4 linked regions of the Drosophila melanogaster genome follow. The protein of the gene in region 4 interacts with the protein of the main gene of each other region in a pairwise test. Each region holds a gene or a part of one and is shown on either strand. Other genes may lie near its edges. The genes, in order: Polr2M, Mob2, Mondo and CG15580.

Region 1 (3,896 bases), about 13 Mb from region 4:
AGAAGACCATTTCGGGCTTGGGCCCATTGGTCACCTCGCAGGTGATCCAAATCTTGGGCGTGTTGCCCAGCTTGCCCACGGTGTCCTGAAGGCTCGCTGGCGCCTCCTTGGGCAAGTCATCTGGCGTGTCGTAGGTCTCCGGCACATAGCCAATAACCTTGTTCAGCTTGATGAAGACGGTCGGCTTTTCGGTGGCGTAGCCCCACGTAGTGTCCTGGTTGAAATCGGCGAAGAAGTCAATGGCATTGTCGTTCAATTTGTTCAGGAAATCGTCGATGCGGTCCGCAATCGGATTGACCTCACTCATGATGTGCGTAAAGTAGGCCAGCACGGATCGATTCTGGTTGGGCACCATCGACAGACCCGGCGGACCCTTGAGCCAGCGCGGCTTATTCGGATCAATGATGGCCAGCATAAAGATGCCCAACCAAAAGGCCACAATGCACACGATTAGGGCGTATAGTACCAGGTAGAAGCCAGTGATACGCATCCAACCCAGAGCTGTGCGTCCGAACAATTTGTGCTCGTCTATGTCGAATATCCTCTTCGACCACGGCAGGTCCTTCTTGCGACGTGTCTCCTGGTTCCGGCGTATCTGCTTGACCAGCTTGTAGTCCCCAGCGGGCACCATTACGTCCTCCGGCATCGTGGCGATCGTTCCGGTTCTGATTTGGCTACTGGTTACGTGGGCGTAAGTGGGAAATATTCGAAGCTTGTAGCTTCGGTTCACTATGAAATCTAAAGCGGAGTAAACTATAATTCTCAAATAGTTTTATTATTTTGTTAAGTATTTATTAATACATTAATAAATCCAGCTGAGTTAGCTGATCTCACTCGTACCACTCGTCCAGCACCAATGGAGTGGTTGGATGAACTGGTGCCGTCAGACGCACCAGCATCTTGACCGTTACCATATGGAGCGGTATGTTCTTAGCCCACGCCTTGCAGTGGATTTGGATGTCCTCGTTGATCGGAATGTTGCTCAACCGAACACTGATGATGCGCCTGAGGCGGGGATCCTCCTTGTAAGTAGGTCCGTCGTCGTCCGAAGACTCGTTGAGAAAGACATTGCCGGAGGTGAAGAGCTCTTCGGCATCGAAGAAGCGAACCGGATGGTAGTCGAACTGAATGTCCACTCTTGGCTCAATAACCTGGCAGGACACCCAGATGCGGTTGAAGCGCTCCTCCGAGCCCAGGCCCACCACATAGTCGAATAGCTCATCCGGAGCGTACTCGGGCAGCGTTAGGGCGTCATCGTAGGTTACCGCCTGGAAGCCCAATGCCTGGGTGATCTTTATTAGAATGCACGGCGTGCCGGACATATAGCCCCAACTGTCGTCTATGTTACAGCCCATCAGGCGCTTCGGGCCTTCGAGACCGTATCGTTTCACCGTTCGCATTATCGCGCGTTGTATGTTAGCCACATCCTTAATGTTATTAGGGCTCCACATAATTTGCTTCTGATCACCGACATGGTGTCCGGGTGCGGTTGCTAGTCCGGGGAACTTTTTGCATCCCGGCCTATCCGGATATATATGATTCGCAATCATCACGAGGGCCAATCCGGTTGTGAATACGCCCAAAACGAAAAAGAATCCGATGAAGTAGAGCAGCAGTTTGATAAAACGGCACACGGTCATCTCGGGATCCGCATTGCGTGTGCGAATGGAACGCCTGTAGAGGTACTCCGCCACACGCATATCACGACGCCGGCGAAGGCGTCCCAATTCGTAGGGACCAGAATAGATTATCGCGTCGTTAGGCATGGAATAATAATATATGGGTACTTAATTATATCTTATGGAAATATATGAGGGATTTCAGAAAGCTAGCTTGGGGTGGATTAGAAATATAGGAATGTATTCCGCACAGAAATCAGAAGCACTAATGTATATTTTTGAATAACGCGCCTTTTTGTCGATAACGATAGGCGTTAAGTGAACTCCTGTAGCCCTTTGCTTCGTAGCAGCACTAAGTATTTTATCGCAACCACAGCACGGTCATACTAAGCTTATGAGCAAAATAAGTGAGCCAAAATGGGCGATAATGTGATTCCTGCTCCGCTTAGCCGTATCCCGGGCACCAGCCAGGCGAAGGAGAAGCACAGCAAGGACCTGAAGACCCTTACCTATCCGCAGCTGCTGGAGATTAAGGACAGGCAGTCTCACTTTCTGTCGTTCAAGTGAGTTTTAGTTTCCACCTGTGGAGTTCCCTGTGAATTTATCTTATTTAATTTTATCTCTATTTAGAAAGCGTTTGCACCAACTGCCGGACAAGGGAAAGCGTCTGCAGGAGTCGTACGACAAATTACTGGCCGAGATCAGGAGGCGGGATGAAGTAGAGGAAGCGACTCGAATGTTGAGCGGTCTCAACATTGTCGAAAAGGGCAAAATTGCTCTCAACAATCTGGAGTGGAATGGCAGAAACACGGACGAGGGCGCCCATGTGGACGACATTCTGGACAGCGATGATGAGGTGGAGATGGATCCGCTGCGGATTATAGCGCAGGGAACAATGCACGAGAAGAAGGTCAAGGTTTTGCCTCCGCCAACGAGTTTCATTACGGCAGATGATCTGGCGGATATCGAGGAGTTTAAGAAACCAACCGACTCCCCAGATTCCGCCTTGGCAGGACATAGTGACACCAGTTCCCTTCCTGCCGAGATCGTAGAAATCGACGCCAGTCAAGTGGCCGCAAAGCTGAGCAGGGAGCTGCCTCCCGATCAGCATGCCCTCTACCTCATCGATAAGACGGAAACAAATGTGAATACTCCTAGGGAAAAGTTTATGCCATTCCGAACCACCAAGTCCAATGTCCACAATCCCGACAAGGAGCGCGTGCGCAAAAAGGGCAAGCATTGGGAAATAACGGCAGCAACTCCGCCACTCATCCAGCACAAAGAGGCCCAGTTGGTGCCATTGGCTGAGTCGGCTGCGTTACAGATTGATTACATGCAAAGAGTAAAGGTAATTTCATTGCTTATGGTCTACATAATTCGATGCTAAATACACTTTATTTGTAGGAGGTTCGCATTCAGCAGGCTGAACAGCGGCTGGCCAGGCTTAAAGACTCTCGACTCCGACTTGGCCTGCCCGAGGAATCGATTGTGAAAACCAAGGAATCCTTCCGCAACTACCGTGATCCCCAAGACACTTTTCTCATCGAGGGCAGGCAAAAAGCCAGCGAAGCGAATGAAGTGCAAGATCCTACTGTTCAAGACAGAGGATCGTCCGCCAGTGGCATTCATTACACGGTGTTCGAGTAACCTATGGGCAGAGCATGAGATAGAATCTATGCTATTCGATTTCCAAGAAACATTGTGTACTATTTATTCGCGTAGGCAACAATTACCAAATAAGACTGCATACATAACTATACTGTGTATACTCTGTGAATACTTAGATTGAATAGAACTGCGTGGCTGTGGAGGCTTGCAACTCGATCTGGCCCATCTTGAACTGCAAGCGCTGCAGCCATTTGAGCAGAGCCTCCGACTTGTACGTTTGCTGCTCCTCGTAGTCCGGTGCATAGTCTCTTACGTTTTGCAACCGGACGTGCAAAGTGTCCGAGAGTTGCGTCTGTGACGAGAGTACGGGGCTCCACATGGGTAGCAGTTTGCCCAGCACTGTGGAATTGGTGTCCTTCAACGCCTCCAACAGACTAAGGAAGTGCAGATTGACCATCTCGGACAGCTTGGAGTTAGCACTCTGCGTCTGAAAGTCCAGGGGGGTCTGCGGCTGATCCTTATTGACTGTCGGCTTGGCGTGGGACACCAATTGCAAGATGCAGGGCGTCACCTTTGCCCAGAACTCAAAAAGAACGCCTAACGTGCTGCCCTCCGCATTGCTATTGGTATTGTGGGCCATCTGCTCCAAGTACACCGTCCACAGTTGAC
Region 2 (4,940 bases), on a different chromosome or scaffold from region 4:
CATTGAAAATGGTATATTATATAAGCAAAAAGAGGTACCCTGTACATTTCGATCTTTGATTTTCTATTGATATGAAGATCCTCTTTCTTCAATGTAAAACTAATTCGTTCTGTTAGTATTTTTTATATTTTTTGTGCTTTTAAATTTTAACTTTACGAAACTAATATCCCAAATTTCTCATGAAACTCTTTGTGCAGCTTAAAGCAAAAACTTTTAATTGCTTGCAGACAATACTAGGAAGCCAATAAAATGGTCTGAAGTGCGTGCTAAAAAAAAAGTACGAAAAATCGAAAGATGACAGAAAAGGGGTTAATGCCTATTGTTTTGTTTATTCAGCTCGAAACCAGCTACTGATTCCAATATCCAAAATGTTCAATTTCCGCGTCGCTGTCGCACTTAACCTTCAACTCGCATTGAAGCCAATTTGCTGACTCTGTTGTCTTTTCCCCCCAAACGAGTTTTGTCTTTTGTGCGCCCCCCTTCTAGTATCGTTTTCACACCTCCGCACACAGAACAACTGGCGCCCCATCAAAACCGAAATTTATGATGTGATTCTAGCAACGCGACGGCGAGTGTTTTTTTTTTCTTAGATTGCCCATTGCTCGCGTTTTGAATGAGCTTAATTGTTGCCGATTTGAGTGTGCTTTTCATGTATATGCAGCACAACCCGTTAAAGGTCAAATGAGCGATTGGCAAAGTCGAAAGAGAGAAAAAAAAAATAGAAACCGAAACCGAAAATGAACCCCCACCCCCTTTGCTCGCTAGAAAAGCTGGAGAATTATGTCTATGTCTGCTAACGAAAGAAATGAAAACGAGTTCCACAACTGGCAAACGACGAGCAGGAAGACGACAGCAGATATGGAAAGGGAGATAGAAGCTGTGCAGCGGTACGGTGACGTGAGATGTGCGATGCACATGCAATGGATGACATGATATACATAGTAGATAGGTGTATCTCCGTACCCCCACCACCAAACCCCATGCCAAGCCGTACAAAACCCATCCATATATATCTTCGAGCTGGTTTGGGTTGTTCTGTTCTGTTCGCTTCATTTTGGTTTGGTTTGGTCTGGAAGAGCTGACCGGCGGGCAGGCAGAGCATCATACATACATACATATGGCATAACGGTTCGGCGGAAAGGCGCAGAGAAGTTTTCGGGTCGCTAACTAACCCAGTTACCAGAGATTCATCCGACAGCGTTTATAACTGTGACTATCCTTTTCATATGGGTTAAACGATCGATTGAGATACACGTCGAATGAAAACAGTCCCAATAGAACCGAAATGCATATGTATGAATTCGATTAAATGCGATTGCTGAGTTACTAAATTAGTATCTATACGATTTTGCTGGAATTGCTTAATGGGGAAATACCGTGAGAAAAGTGTTTCATAACGGGGGCAAAACGTTCAATCGCAAATAGTACATAGATACTTTTCTATACCATTATATATCGAACTAAAATTGTTAGTTTGGATAAATATCATAGTGCTTCTTCCTAATTAGTTCCTGAGCTTACATAAATCCTTAACATCCGCAACACAGAAGGGCCTACACAGAAAACGAATCGAATTCGGTTAGATAATATCGCACCACAAAGGCTTGAATCAATTTCATTTCCTCTGCCTTCCGCAAATTGTCCATGGCAATTCAACTATGGGAATCCGCAACTAGTTCCAGTTGGCTTTGCAATTTTTAGCATGACCTCAAAAAATCGATGGATGGCCTAGCGCATTTGAGGACCCAAAGGGTTGGCGAGGGGCAGTGGTAGGAAGGCGCGGGGGGTCTGGACGAAAGGTGTGAGAAATAACAAGCTGCTGGTTGAGCCACTCGTAACTGTTGTTTTCTCAGCGTATTGAACACGTAGGCGCGTCAACGGGGTTGACAAAAAGTAGAAACAACGCAACCAGGATGTGCACGGAAAAAAGAGGAAATACTCTAGGCCCAATAAGATATATCATTATTTTAAGATTTTCACTCTTTTTATTTTTAGAAGGTATTTAAAGGCAGTTTGAATAAGGATATATTCCATAAAAACCTATCTTTAAATAATTCTTGTGAAAACTGTCAAATGAACCCTAACAATACCCCCATTTCTTTCTGTGTGGCAGAGAAAACACCTGACAATGCAGTTGAGTGTGAGGGGGCGTTAATAAGGGAGGGTTGAGGGTTGCAGGGCAGACAACCAGACAAGCGGACGAACAGACAGGAAGCTCGTGAGGAAGGAAGTTCCTGCCGCTGCGGCAAAGGAAGTGGTTAAAACAATATGGCAGTGGAGGAACAAGTAGTGGTGGAGTGGCAGTGGCAGTGGCACACCAAGCAACATTGTGAATGCCCAATGTACCGTTGTTGTTGCTGACGCTGGAGTAGCAGCTTTGCTGCAGCGTTGCAGTTGTTGCTGGTGTGCCAATTCTAAGCGCTGCATTGGCAACAGTCGCGCTTCGCCGGTTTCGCAACTGAACTCTCAGCTGCTATTGCTCCTCTGCAGTTAGTTGCTGTTGCTTCTGCTGCTGCTGCTGTTGCTGCATTGCGCGTAATCAGTGAAGCAACAAACCGTGGCAGCTAGCTGCAACAGCAACAATAACACGCCAGCAGTCGCGGCTCTGAGGAAAAACTTGAATGCAGTTTTTCGCAGCGAATGACACAGTTTCACACCAGCACGGGAAAACACTAGCACACACACAGAGAAGAACTTCTTTTCTTTCTTTCTTTTTTTTTTTGTTGGAGAACAGACTCCTTTTCGGCTTACATTTGTTCCCCTTTTCGGGATATTAGTTTGTATTGGTAGGCGATTTTATTTCACAATCTAGCATAGCATTTCACGGTGGCAATTGATGTTGCAAATGTTGCGCTGCTTGCTGCTGGAGTTGCTGTTTTGCTTTTAACTGCGACGCGATGATGTGTGGTTGCAACCGACGGCGGCGCCTCGAAAAACAATGTCAAATAATGACGCGGCGACATCAACAGTCCACTATTGACGACGACCTGCAACCGCTCGAGCGACCAAGCGTGCCAAAGGAAATTTCTACACTGAGCCAAGCCGTCCGTCTTTGACTGACTGCTGCTCGTTCGGCTGGCAACAGCAACACATACACATACACAGCGGCAACAACAGCAACACACAGCGGCAACATCAACACTCACGCAAGTAAGGAGAGAAAAAAGGCAGCAAAAGCAAAAACACAAAACTGGCAACGAAAGCAGAGCACACAGTAAAGATGAAGTGGTTGCTGTTGTTGTTATTGTTGCTGCTGATGTTGCTGCTGTCTCGCACACCAGCAACATTTGCTCTCCGCTCGAGCGCGAGGAAGAGAGCTAGAGGTATCAAATACCAGCTGAGCGGGAGAGAGCTGCCCGTGTACGTGTTTTGCATACAAATGCGCCACTCAAGCGAGACACGCACATCTATACGGTTTTCGACCACTTGTTTGACTGCTTTGGCTTTAGCCCTCTCTCTTCTACGCTCTCTCGCATCAGCTGAGCGCTCATGTTTTGATGCTCAGCAGCTGACTGCGCTGGCGTTGCCACACAGCTCGGTAACAAGAGAACACGGCAAAGTGGCAGTAGAATAGTAGCAGAATCTACTACTTTTTTAACGCATTGAACAAACCTAGGATAAACTCTATAAATAACAATTAGAAATTAATTTTCCACGAAAAGGGATAATTGTACCGTTCGTATGAAACATTTAAATGGATTTCTCATAAATATATTGCCATTGTTGATTCATTAACACATGGTTTTAATGATCACAGGTAAACGAAATAAATTCGGCAAATTTAATGGCTAACACAATTTCGTACAATTGACGCAAACATCACATCACTTATGTACTTTTACCAAGAACACTAATTGGCTTGATAACAATCTGTTCAACTAAAACATCATAGAGTTTTGTTAAAGCGCTAAACATTTATTTAATACGTTTAATACTCTAAGCATGTTATAATTTTTTTCTCAGTTAAAATGACTGCTCTAATTGACTTAAACAAATTACCTGGGATTTGGGTAAGCTCATGCTCAAGATATTTCACTCACCTGAAAGGAAAACAGAAAATAAAGAATTAAAGATATATTCCAATTTGTTATTCTCGATGGTAAGGACCTCCAGCTACGTGGTTCTTATCAATGAAGTGACCCCAAGCCCGCATGAAATAGCTACTCCTCTGACCATCAAATCTCTCCACAGGGAGTAATTATCACGCTCTTTTTCGGCCAGGAAGAAATAAAATCAGTAATCAAATAGAATGGAGCGGTAGACGAAAACCGAAGAACACAGGAACTGCATTTGCTGCCTAACTTACACAGAATCTAGACCCGAATAAGAAAACATAATATAAACGCATCGTCATTCTGCGTAAATAAAGTTGAAAACAGGAACACGCAATGCACTTAGATAAATTTGGACCGACATGTGTGGTATTCATTAAGCGAATAACTAAAAAGAATGATTAACAAAAACACAACAGTACCAACCCACATAAACTTATTTTATATTTTTAAATTTACTAGACAATTGCATTAATACACTTTTTTTCGAGTGTATCTCAAAACAGCTGTCCATTGACGAGCTGAAGAAAAACAAGAACAAATACGACTGGGGCGAAAAGGTGAGAAGCGGATAGAGGAAAAGGAATCTTGGCAGCAGAGAACGCGCACCTGTGACCGCCCGCAATGCAACCGAAACGGCGGCAAGTTCATTTGCACCACATCAAAATTTCATCCACACTATGCTGCGCACACACACACACGAAGCGTGTAATGGAACATCTGATCCGTACCGCCAACTCTATGGCCCTCTCTTTCCACCCACACAGCACAGCAACCATCTCACTTGCTCCAAAAGGTGGTAACGCTCGGCTGCTTTCTAGCGGTTCAACTGCTGCCATTTGCCATTACTCGAATTGCTTTGTGCCCATTACTTATGGCAGCGACTGT
Region 3 (4,581 bases), on a different chromosome or scaffold from region 4:
TGTACCTCTTATATTCAAATTAATCTAAGGGTAGACTACATTCATTGAAAACTATGAAAGATAAATGTATTTTTAACATTTTATTACCAAGAGTCAATATTGCCGTGTCCACCACCAAAAAAGTTGAGATTAAGCACGCAAATTTTGATTTTAATTTTCTTTTTGAAAACTTCTTTCTCCCCTCTAGCTTAGTAATATAGTAATTATGTTTTAACATTTTAGGTAAATATAGAATGCAAGGGTAGAGCTGCAATCGCGCAGCCGGTTTAAACAGCTCTGTCCTGGGCTGTGTCCGCTTGGGGTAGTCCTTACTGTGGTGAGTCATCTCATTTTCGCACGTGCAGGCGACTTGCAACGCACATTACTCAACTCCAGTCGGCGATTGCGTCAGCCAATTTCTTTACCTTTACCAGGTGGCATGCCCCACTGAGTTTTGATTTGCCACGTTCGCCCGGTCAATTGAAAATCCATACAAGGCAATGCCACCAACACACGTGCAGCAACAATGAATGAGTAGAACGCCAAGTGCGGCAGTGTGCGTGATAAATTGCGAAATTAGCGAGAATTTAGCTTGGTGTATACTCACTTTTGATTTTTATACGTTTCCATTTTGTTGTGTTTGGGCACCTAGGTGCTGCTTGTTTTTGCTTGCGCGCAAACTATAGAGCCATCTTTAGGTTAATATAAATGCCGAAATCGTGAGAGAAAATAACAATTGAACCTTTTTGCGTTTCATTTGGAACGGTAATGAGTGTTGGAATCAGTGTTACCAGATCGGGAAATGCCTTGCTACTTTCTACTAAATAATCCCACCCCTTTTTCTCACAAATCTAAAGCGCACAAAATCATTCGTAAAGTATTATTAAATGACTATATAAAAATTTTGAACTGAACAGCAATTTCATTAAGAACCTTCTAACAGTACAAATGAAAAAATTCTCTGAAAGTATAATGTCTAATATAAGCCCGAGAAAGGTATTTAAGCAAAAGAACATGGGAGTGCGAAATCCTCTAGTCTGCTGATAAAGAATTAGGCAGTTACACTACTTTGTAACAAGGTGTGCAGTTTGAATACTTATTATTAAATTTTAACCGGAACTAATTCAATGTTTATCGATAGTTTTTTGATGTGTGATCACTAATTTTATTCTGGGTATTCTATTCTCTAACTTAAACAATATAGTGAACATAAAGGGAAAATATCCATTTTACATAATTTTTCCTAATTACTTAAGCACAACAATGTTTAAAAAACACATTACATTTGAGTATAATATATGTATATATTCTAGTTTTTCCTATTAGTCTCAACGCATTAACTTTTTATTGATGCGGTTTCAAGGTGCTGTCGGAAAAAGATATAATAGCAATTCCATAAAACTGGAAACTAATTACGGGAAATAGCCGTCCTAAATTCATTGTATTGCAATTTCGGAGCAGGAAACATATGACCTCGTATGCTGCCCTTCCCAATCTTTACGTTTGGGGTGATTATGCTCATTCTTGCGTTTTTCGGCTCGCAGCTTTCAGCCATTTTTAGGAAGAGGGTGCTGTTTATCAGAGCCACCAAATGCTTGACAACCCTGATGGGATGGTGAGGGCTCGCTACCCGCAATAGGTTAATGTGTGCTATATTGTGATTAAACTACGTAGAAGCTTTGTGTTGCGCGTGTGTGCGTGGTATTGGTAGTCCGTCGTGCCTGCTAACTGCCCGTGTTTCTGCTATAGGGGGCAGTTGCAGTTGTACCGAAATTGTGGTGCGCGTGCATGCGCGTGTATATGAGTGGGAACGGAAAAAGGCAAAATGCAAAGGCAGCGCTGAGCCAGAGGTCAAAAGTGCAAACACAGAACTGCTTGTGGAGTGCATACTCTGGATGGCAAGGCCGAATGCCAGGAGTCAAATCGACTGAGCTCCATATAGTAATAGTGGAGAGGGGGACAACATTGCTGCCTGACATCTGCGCATATAGAAGAACACGTACATACATACATATACATATGTATGTACGTTTTCCTAGCTGATAAGCAACGCTAGCGAGGTAGGGAGAGAGAGAGATTTCGCGTCAGCTGTTCATTGTTGTGTTGTGTGCGGCGCACAGGTTATGTGCGTTTCGCAGCTTCGTTCTCCGATCAGTTCTGTTTGTGGAATGAAACCGATCGTTCTGCGCTGGTTCTGCCCGCCTTGTTGGCCTTCCATCAGATCCGCGTGTGTTTACGAGTAGTTGGGGCTTCACTATCTGTTCAAGGAGCTACAAGCGGCCACTGACGTCTCGTTCTGACGTCCGTATCCCCAGCCAACCCCGCCGCGATTGTGTGTGTGTGTGTGTGTGCGAAAATTGTTGTTATTGTGCTGTGTGACGCATATAACGGCAAAAGCGGGGCGTGTTTGCCATTAGAGAAGCTTCGCTCCGGAAAAAGCAACAATTGGACAGGTGTCGATGACGAAAAGCTGAAGGTGTCGGGCATTGTAAACAAATCAAAATCTTAAAACCGTGCTATGTCTCTATCAAATAATCGCTTATTTTAGTAATTTAGTTAATAGAATGACAAGGACAAACACTAGATGAGAGAATTAATAAATGTGTTAACCACGAGGCAAGACAAAACATATTTTTTTTTATAGTCTGCGAACGTTTACATATTTTGAAATGATGGAAAAACCCCATCCAAATTAAAAAAGGGTCAGCACCAGCTTTTAAAAGCCTTTACTACGCGAGAGACATTAAAAAACCATTAAATGTGCCCTCGCCATATCGACATAATCTGCAACCGCCAAAATTTTGGCTCAACAGTAAACTATTTGCATAGGCATCCCCTGGCACCTGTTGAAAATGATGCTGAATAAACACGAGGGATACCAACGCACAAGCCAAATGTTTCCCCACCAGCAGCACCAGCTGCCTCAGCTGCACCAGCAGCCTTATCTGCAACAGTCTCTGTGCCAAAACTTCCAGCAATTGCAGTACGAAACGGGAGTAGGTGCTTCGGCGTCAGGGTCCGCCGAGGCTACGGCAGACCTGCTCAAGGCGGAGCGGGAGTCTATCCACTCCGGCCAGTTTATGGTCTCGCACTTCGAGGCAGAGGAGGCGCAGGACGACCTAGAGGATGACGGCGAGGTGAAGATGCTAGACCCTGAGGACCCCGGTCTGGGCAAGCCGGGCGAGCCAACCAACACATGTCGTGACGTGCAGCTTTACGTACCCCAAACAGTGGCCCACTTCAGCGCCATGGACCAGGAGGGCGACGAGAGCAGCATGAGCATGGTGACCTCCCACCTGGAGATAGAGACCTCGCTCACCAAACTCTTCAAGTGCATGAATCTGGCCTACAGGTGAGTTGAAGACTCGTACTCGAGACCACAACCGAACACCGGGGCCCTGAAGATTTATGAAATGTTGTTTCCCGCTTGTTCACGCGTTTCGAGCGTGATAACGCTCAACTGGCCAACGAAAATCCAGCAAACGAAAAAGCTTGGACCGCTTCGGTCCCATAATCGCGGCACATGTTGAGACGTGACGTCGCTGCTCAGGTTACTTTGGCCCCACATTGCCTCAATCGCTCCTCTGCCACCCTTTATACCCCTCTTTCTGTTACTTCTCCCATTTCTGCAAACGACAGCGCAATCATAGAGAAAATATTAAAGTATTGCCAAAGCAATATCAGAATGAATTAATTTTGCAAAATGAAATGCAATTTGCTTACAACATATTATTATCTGAGACCTTATCAACTAAAAATCTGAATTGTGAAGCTATTGTTTTTTGTTTTTTTTTAAAGAACGAAAAGGATTTGTTTAAAAAAAGTGTTATACAGTTTTAAATTTTAAATTTGTTTGTTATAATGATGGTTTTTAGTCACTATAAAACAGCTACGGTAGTTGTTTGTATGATCCATATATATACGCGTATTGTTAATAACTACGAATTCGGATTTCCTTACATTTTTCACGACCATGTGATTTCATTGTTGTTTTTCACTAAGTGACTAAGTGCTCTAGGAGAGTGTGCGTTCTCCTGGATGCGCTTTAGCGACTACAATATACACGAGGAAAAATATAAATTTAAATTTATAACATGCTTCATTTTGCACGCCCGCCGGTTGTTTTGATGGTGTTAAGTTTCGATGGAAAGACATTTCCAAACGCTTTTTTTGTCTAAATAACATATTAAAAGAGAGAACAACGTAATTGTTATACGCTTCTACTCTACGATTCTAGATACTAGATTAGTTGAAAAGTATGCAACGGGCGTTTCCGACTTGATCAGGATCTATAGCTGGGTCAATCTAGCCATGTCCGCCTGAACGTCGAGATCTCAGGAACCCTATAAAATCTAGAAGTTTAGCCAAGTTAAAACCGCAACTTTGTTTAGCCATGTTGCCACGCCCACTCTAACACTAGCTGAAAACTGTCACGCCCACACTTTTGAAAAACGTGATCATATTTTTTCACATTTTTATTAGTCTTGTAAATTTCTAACGATTTGGAAAAAAATTGTTTTCCACGCCCACTCTAACGCCCTAAACCGCCCAAAACTGCCACGCCCACATTTTTGAATAATTTTTTCATTTTTTAATTAGTCT
Region 4 (5,160 bases):
TGTTAAGCAATCGCGCCAACTTTTTGGTCTTTTCGCCTCAGGGGAAAGGCAAAACTCTGCCGTGAGACGAACGGCAGCTCGTAAATTTCAAAAATTTGAAAACAACAGCGCCGGCAACATATACTTTTCGCGCGCTGGCCGAAATTATTTTAAATCACCTGCTGCCCGGCATTTATCATCAGAGCCAGTCGGACAAGTCGGACTCCCTAACGACCGCAGCCAGTCTTCAGCTCAACTCCCAGGACGACTACAACGGCAGCGAGATTTGCGAAGAGCACTTTATTTTGGCCAAGCCATTGCCACGCCTCCGTCCCCAAGCCCCCATCCACACTCCATCCACGCAGTGAAGTTTTCTCCACCTAACACCGACCCACTCATAATGTCCGCGCTTCTGATGTTATTTTGCCATTTTCGCTCTGGTTTGCGGCTGGGGGAAAACTGTTTTGTTATCACGGTGATAAATGGAAAATTATTTTGAATCGAGCAACTACTTAAAAGAATTCCCAAAGGTTGTAATAAATTTTGGGGCACACACATACACACATACATTCACGTCCGAGAAGGACATGCGAGGAAGGACAAGTTGGTAAGACCGAATCCGAGTTGAGCTGGCTTGGTAATGTCCTTCCAGATAAAAAGGTGATTGACGAAGCGAAAGCAAAAGTCATGGTCGAACTTCCACTTAGCAATGCAGTTGTCGTTCACAGAAAAGGACCAACGACGATGTCGGTGGTTGTGTTGTGTGTAGTGGTGGGCTGGATGGCGAATTTCGTCCTGGCATGCACTTAATTTGTACTGGGAGCTGGGGACCTGGGGCTCCTCCACTTGCTCTGAAGAAATACTCCAAGTTGAGCATATTCACAAAGCTTTGCAGAGCCAGGAATGCTATAGGTGCACACCGTGCCAAATTATTTCCTTACAACTTTAAAACTAAACATTTTATTATATGATACATCCTGGAATATAGCCCACATAGGTAGGAAGTAACAGCTCTTCCGGGAAAATATTATAGCTTATCAACAGTACCACTATAATTAAATAATAATAAATATGCATTAAAAATATAAATATTTTATATGTCCTGGTCACAAGAATTGATACAAAGTCGTTTGGTTTTCTTAAGTGCAGCGTCTTTGTTGGCAGGAGCAGCTACATGCACTATGGAAACCACTTCCAAACTGGGGGCCATCTCCGATCCAGGCACAAAGGCACCCGGACAGGACGAGCACACTCAGCGAGCAGCTCTAACAACATCTATTTTTATTTCATTAGGTAGAAAAATAGCCGGCAAGGTGAAGCTCCTGGCAGCTTCGCCATCAAAACAAAGCGCTGAATATTGGCCAAAACGGAATGGAACGGGGCGGGCGAAGCGGGGCTGGCCACAAAAAGAAACTGCTCTTCGCTTCTCAATTAGGTTAGCTTAATTTAAATTTGCTTCGAGTGCTTGGCAAGTGCTTGCGAGACATTAGCAGCAAATATTAGCAAACGCTTAAAGAGCGCCGTAAGTGGAAAATATCTTAGGCGAGTTTTCTTAAATTAGCCGTTGTAAACATTTGTTACGCACTCGGGTCGGGATTTAGAGTGTCTTAAATGAAAACCGGACAGTTTTTAATGAGGAAGTACGTTTGGCAGGTGCGAGATAACTAAAACATAAAACATGTTCATTGGAGTATGAAGATAGACAAACGGCACTTCCATAAATGTATTAAGGTGCACTGGAACACATGGGTTAAAACCATGTTATACTTATCGATCACTTTCAGAAACAAACTTCAAAAAAAAAGACTTTCAACGCACAAACAAACATACTCGAAAATAACTCCATATGGACTTTGAAGATGATGAGGAGGTTGTGCAACCGCACTATGCTCAGAAATTCCGGGCTCCCACCGATCCCCTCCTTCTGGCCACATATGAGCTTTTTAAGCCCTCTCATCAGACCTTGAACCTATACAGCGAACGGAATCGCGAGATTTTTGCGGAGGCCTTTATAGAGGGAAACTTGAACACTTTAGTCAATCTGAGCGTAAAGAGTCTGGCCAAGCTGGGCATTCGAGGCATATCTCCAACTTTGCAGGCGAGTCCCCAGCTTATGAGGATATTTTACGACGCACTGGATGTGGAGCTGCCTTTGAGGTATGTAACGAAACGGATACAAGTATTTTCATTACATAACCTATAATTTAACATTTGACGCCACTAACTTTATATCGTTATTTACTATGGTTACAAACCCTAATAACTTTATATATATTTCAAAGAGATTGCTATTTGATCGAGGATCAACGATTTTGGCGACGCGTCGTACTAAGCAAGACTTTGGACAAAACGTTGCACCTGAAGCGCTGGAACGAGTTCGACTGGAAGGCTGAGGGTGTGAGCCGGAAGTTTGTGGAGCAGGTTGAATCATGTCCTGTGAACGTGAAGCCGCAGAGAAGGCTGGCTCAGTTGGCTGAAATTGTTTGGCAGTATGTCAACTCCATGCACATCCGCAAGCTGCAAGCTCTGCCCGACTATGCCTTCATTAAGCACTTGGAGAGCGAGCCTGAAGAGGATATATCCTCGGAGTCATCCGACGAGGAGGAGATATCTAGCGATGAGCCGGATACGGAAATGGACGAGGGCGAGGAGGAGCACAAGTCTAGTAGTTCCAGCAGCGAGGCAGCTATTACTTTCTGGCGTGCGGAAACCGAGAACGAGGACACAATTCGCCGGAATGCGCGACATCTGCGCAACGCCAACCGCCAGCAGGCTCGGGATGCCATTGCTAGGAAACGGGAGGATCGCAAGGAGCGCAAGAGGAAGCGCCAGGAGAAACTGGACGCCTTGAAGAATGCGGATCAATCGGGCAAGAAAAAGAAGAAAAAGAAGAAGGAACCGCCCATTCGAGACGTGTTCAGCATAAACGTTGCTCCAGAAGAAGGTGATGACGAGGACACAAAACCGGACAAGCGCAACAAGCAGCTGCTGCTGGAGCGGATCAAGCGGTATGACTATCCGGAGGACCATTGTCATCACATTGATCTGGGATTTGTACGATATTTTGAAAATATGATGTCTCTGACGCTGGAGTTTTTGGGACCACCTGATGTAAAAGACTATCAAAGGTAAGCTCTTAAATTAGAATGTTATGGTAAGAAACAACATCGAAGAAGTGAAACGTGCTGTACACGATTTGTATAACATGTTTTCTCTGAGATAAATGGAACCAAATAAATACATGTGAAGTAGAGTTCTAAAAGCGCCAAGAGTCTACAGCTGCATCGCCTACCACCAGCATTTAAATTAAAATTGCTAGCTTAAACTTAACTTAACTTGTACCTTACAGCCGTTATATGAAGTTCTCAGACAGTGATATGGTTCGTCTTAGCAAAGGTCTGAAATACTTACCGAGCCTCAAGACCTTCAGGCTTCGAAACAGTCGCCTGAGTATGAAGAAGTTTCGTATCCTGACCCGTGCCCTTCAGAACTTAGACACCCTTGATGAGGTGGATTTTGGTTATGACCAAATGACGGATGAGTGCAGCGAAGGCCTGGCCTATTTGCTAAAGCGCCCTTTGATGTACCGCAGTATCCAGCTGGAACACAACAAATTGGGCGCCAATTGTGCAATTGTGCTGGGCGAGGCGTTGAGCCAATCGCAAGTGGGGGTTTTGGAGTATCTGGGCCTGGCTCACAATCCGCTTAATGAATTGGCCCTGCATTCGCTCATAACGTGTATTATCGGAACCCCCCATGTGTGGGCCCTCAACATTTCGGGGATCAACACCACCCTGGGTTCGTTTTCCCGTGATATAGGAACCCTCCTGCGCAGCCACACTCCTCTGATGAGCCTCGAAATGGCCGCCATCAACATTGGCATCTCGCAAGGGAATCAAATACTGAGATCCCTGGAAAAGAATACCCGAGTAAGTATAACATTGAATTAGGTTGGATCGCTGATAATGACCACTTTTGCGAAAGGGGTGCTGAAGATCATTTTTAACTGAGTATTGAACTTACATTCCTATCCTAAGATCCTATACGCCGACTTCCGGGAATGTGAGCTGAGCTTCGACCAGGAATTCGAAGTGGACATGATAGTGCGTCGGAATAACTACATTCATGAAAACCTCCACCACGGCGAGAATCTGTGTAAGGTGGTCAAGGAGCGCCGCCATCCGATTGTCCAGCGAATCGAGGAGGATTTCGCCCGGCGGAAGGGGTGCACGGAGGTGCGGCCGAAGTTCTCGAGCTCCAGCAAGGAATCCATTCCGGAGGTGGTCGTTGAGAAGAAGGAGGTCGAGGAGGAGGGCGACATCTGGGCAATGTTGGCTCGGTGGAACCAGCCGACAGCGCCTGAAGTGAGGGAATCGCACACTTCAAAGGATTCGCACCCCTCTCAAAATGGAAAGACAGAACCATTTGTTTTCGAACCCAACAAGTTCGATCTGGACCAGTTCCGGAAGTCTGTCTTTCTGCCAGGCCCTGGCAATCGCTTTTTCTACCTGCAAAGGAACAAAACTCCCTAATTTGTAGCCCTTTTCACCACCTACAATTGTACATTGCATAACATTGTACTCTGAGTATATTTTCAAAGCATTAAACGCACCACTTAGCAGTCCAACATAGTCCCTATCATTCTCGAGGGCTTGGAATGTCATTCGACCTAATGGTCACTTTAAACCTTCGCCATAAAGTGCCGCGCTGGCATAAACTGAGATCTAATTAAGTCGCTGGCAACGTGTTCGCCTTGGAGCCACGCCCACAATTCCGGGGGCCACACCTCGACCGAAGGTCATTGCAGAGCACAGCAAGTGCAACAAAGTTGAGCAGTTTGCATTTAAGCAGCGGAGATTTGGGCAACAGTGTCTCCAATTTAATGCCACTTCCCCTGGCTACTTCTGCCTTCCAAGCTCCACAGTCAATTCCATAAAATCGTGGGCGTACACTCGGAAAAAATAGTATAATTTCCATGTTGATAAAACAAACTAGAAAGCACTTAAAACACCAGTCCTAAAAACAGCATGTTAAATCCTTTTAACACTTTAGTTAAAAGAATTTTTCAATTCATATTACTTCATTTGAAGACTTAATTTCCAATGTTAACTAGCGGTGATTTTATTGGAAGGCTTCATTTCTTTTAAAGTTTTTCTAAACAAGATATATCTGCTTTTTCAG

The links.
Region 1: the proteins of CG15580 (region 4) and Polr2M interact in a two-hybrid assay, tested with the Drosophila melanogaster proteins (one large-scale study listed by BioGRID).
Region 2: the proteins of CG15580 (region 4) and Mob2 interact in a two-hybrid assay, tested with the Drosophila melanogaster proteins (one large-scale study listed by BioGRID).
Region 3: the proteins of CG15580 (region 4) and Mondo interact in a two-hybrid assay, tested with the Drosophila melanogaster proteins (one large-scale study listed by BioGRID).

The regions. Positions count from the first base shown.
Region 1 is NT_033777.3:19,227,462-19,231,357, forward strand, and holds Polr2M (RNA polymerase II subunit M), read left to right. Parts: upstream 1-2,001; 5' UTR 2,002-2,036; coding exon 2,037-2,182; intron 2,183-2,249; coding exon 2,250-2,967; intron 2,968-3,023; coding exon 3,024-3,266; 3' UTR 3,267-3,371; downstream 3,372-3,896. Other genes in the region: CG11703 (uncharacterized protein), read right to left, coding at 1-646; CG5250 (uncharacterized protein), read right to left, coding at 831-1,766; unc79 (uncoordinated 79), read right to left, coding at 3,400-3,896.
Region 2 is NT_037436.4:11,550,079-11,555,018, forward strand, and holds the start of Mob2 (Mob2), read right to left. Parts: upstream 3,035-4,940; 5' UTR 2,752-3,034; intron 2,616-2,751; exon of another isoform or gene 2,461-2,615; intron 1-2,460. UniProt on the Drosophila melanogaster protein: Required for the normal morphogenesis of a variety of polarized outgrowths including epidermal hairs, bristles, arista laterals, and dendrites.
Region 3 is NT_033779.5:21,307,038-21,311,618, reverse strand, and holds the start of Mondo (mondo), read left to right. Parts: upstream 1-1,568; 5' UTR 1,569-1,680; exon of another isoform or gene 1,681-2,680; 5' UTR 2,681-2,831; coding exon 2,832-3,331; intron 3,332-4,581.
Region 4 is NT_033777.3:6,054,156-6,059,315, reverse strand, and holds CG15580 (uncharacterized protein), read left to right. Parts: upstream 1-1,779; 5' UTR 1,780-1,825; coding exon 1,826-2,136; intron 2,137-2,261; coding exon 2,262-3,107; intron 3,108-3,328; coding exon 3,329-3,908; intron 3,909-4,016; coding exon 4,017-4,511; 3' UTR 4,512-4,604; downstream 4,605-5,160.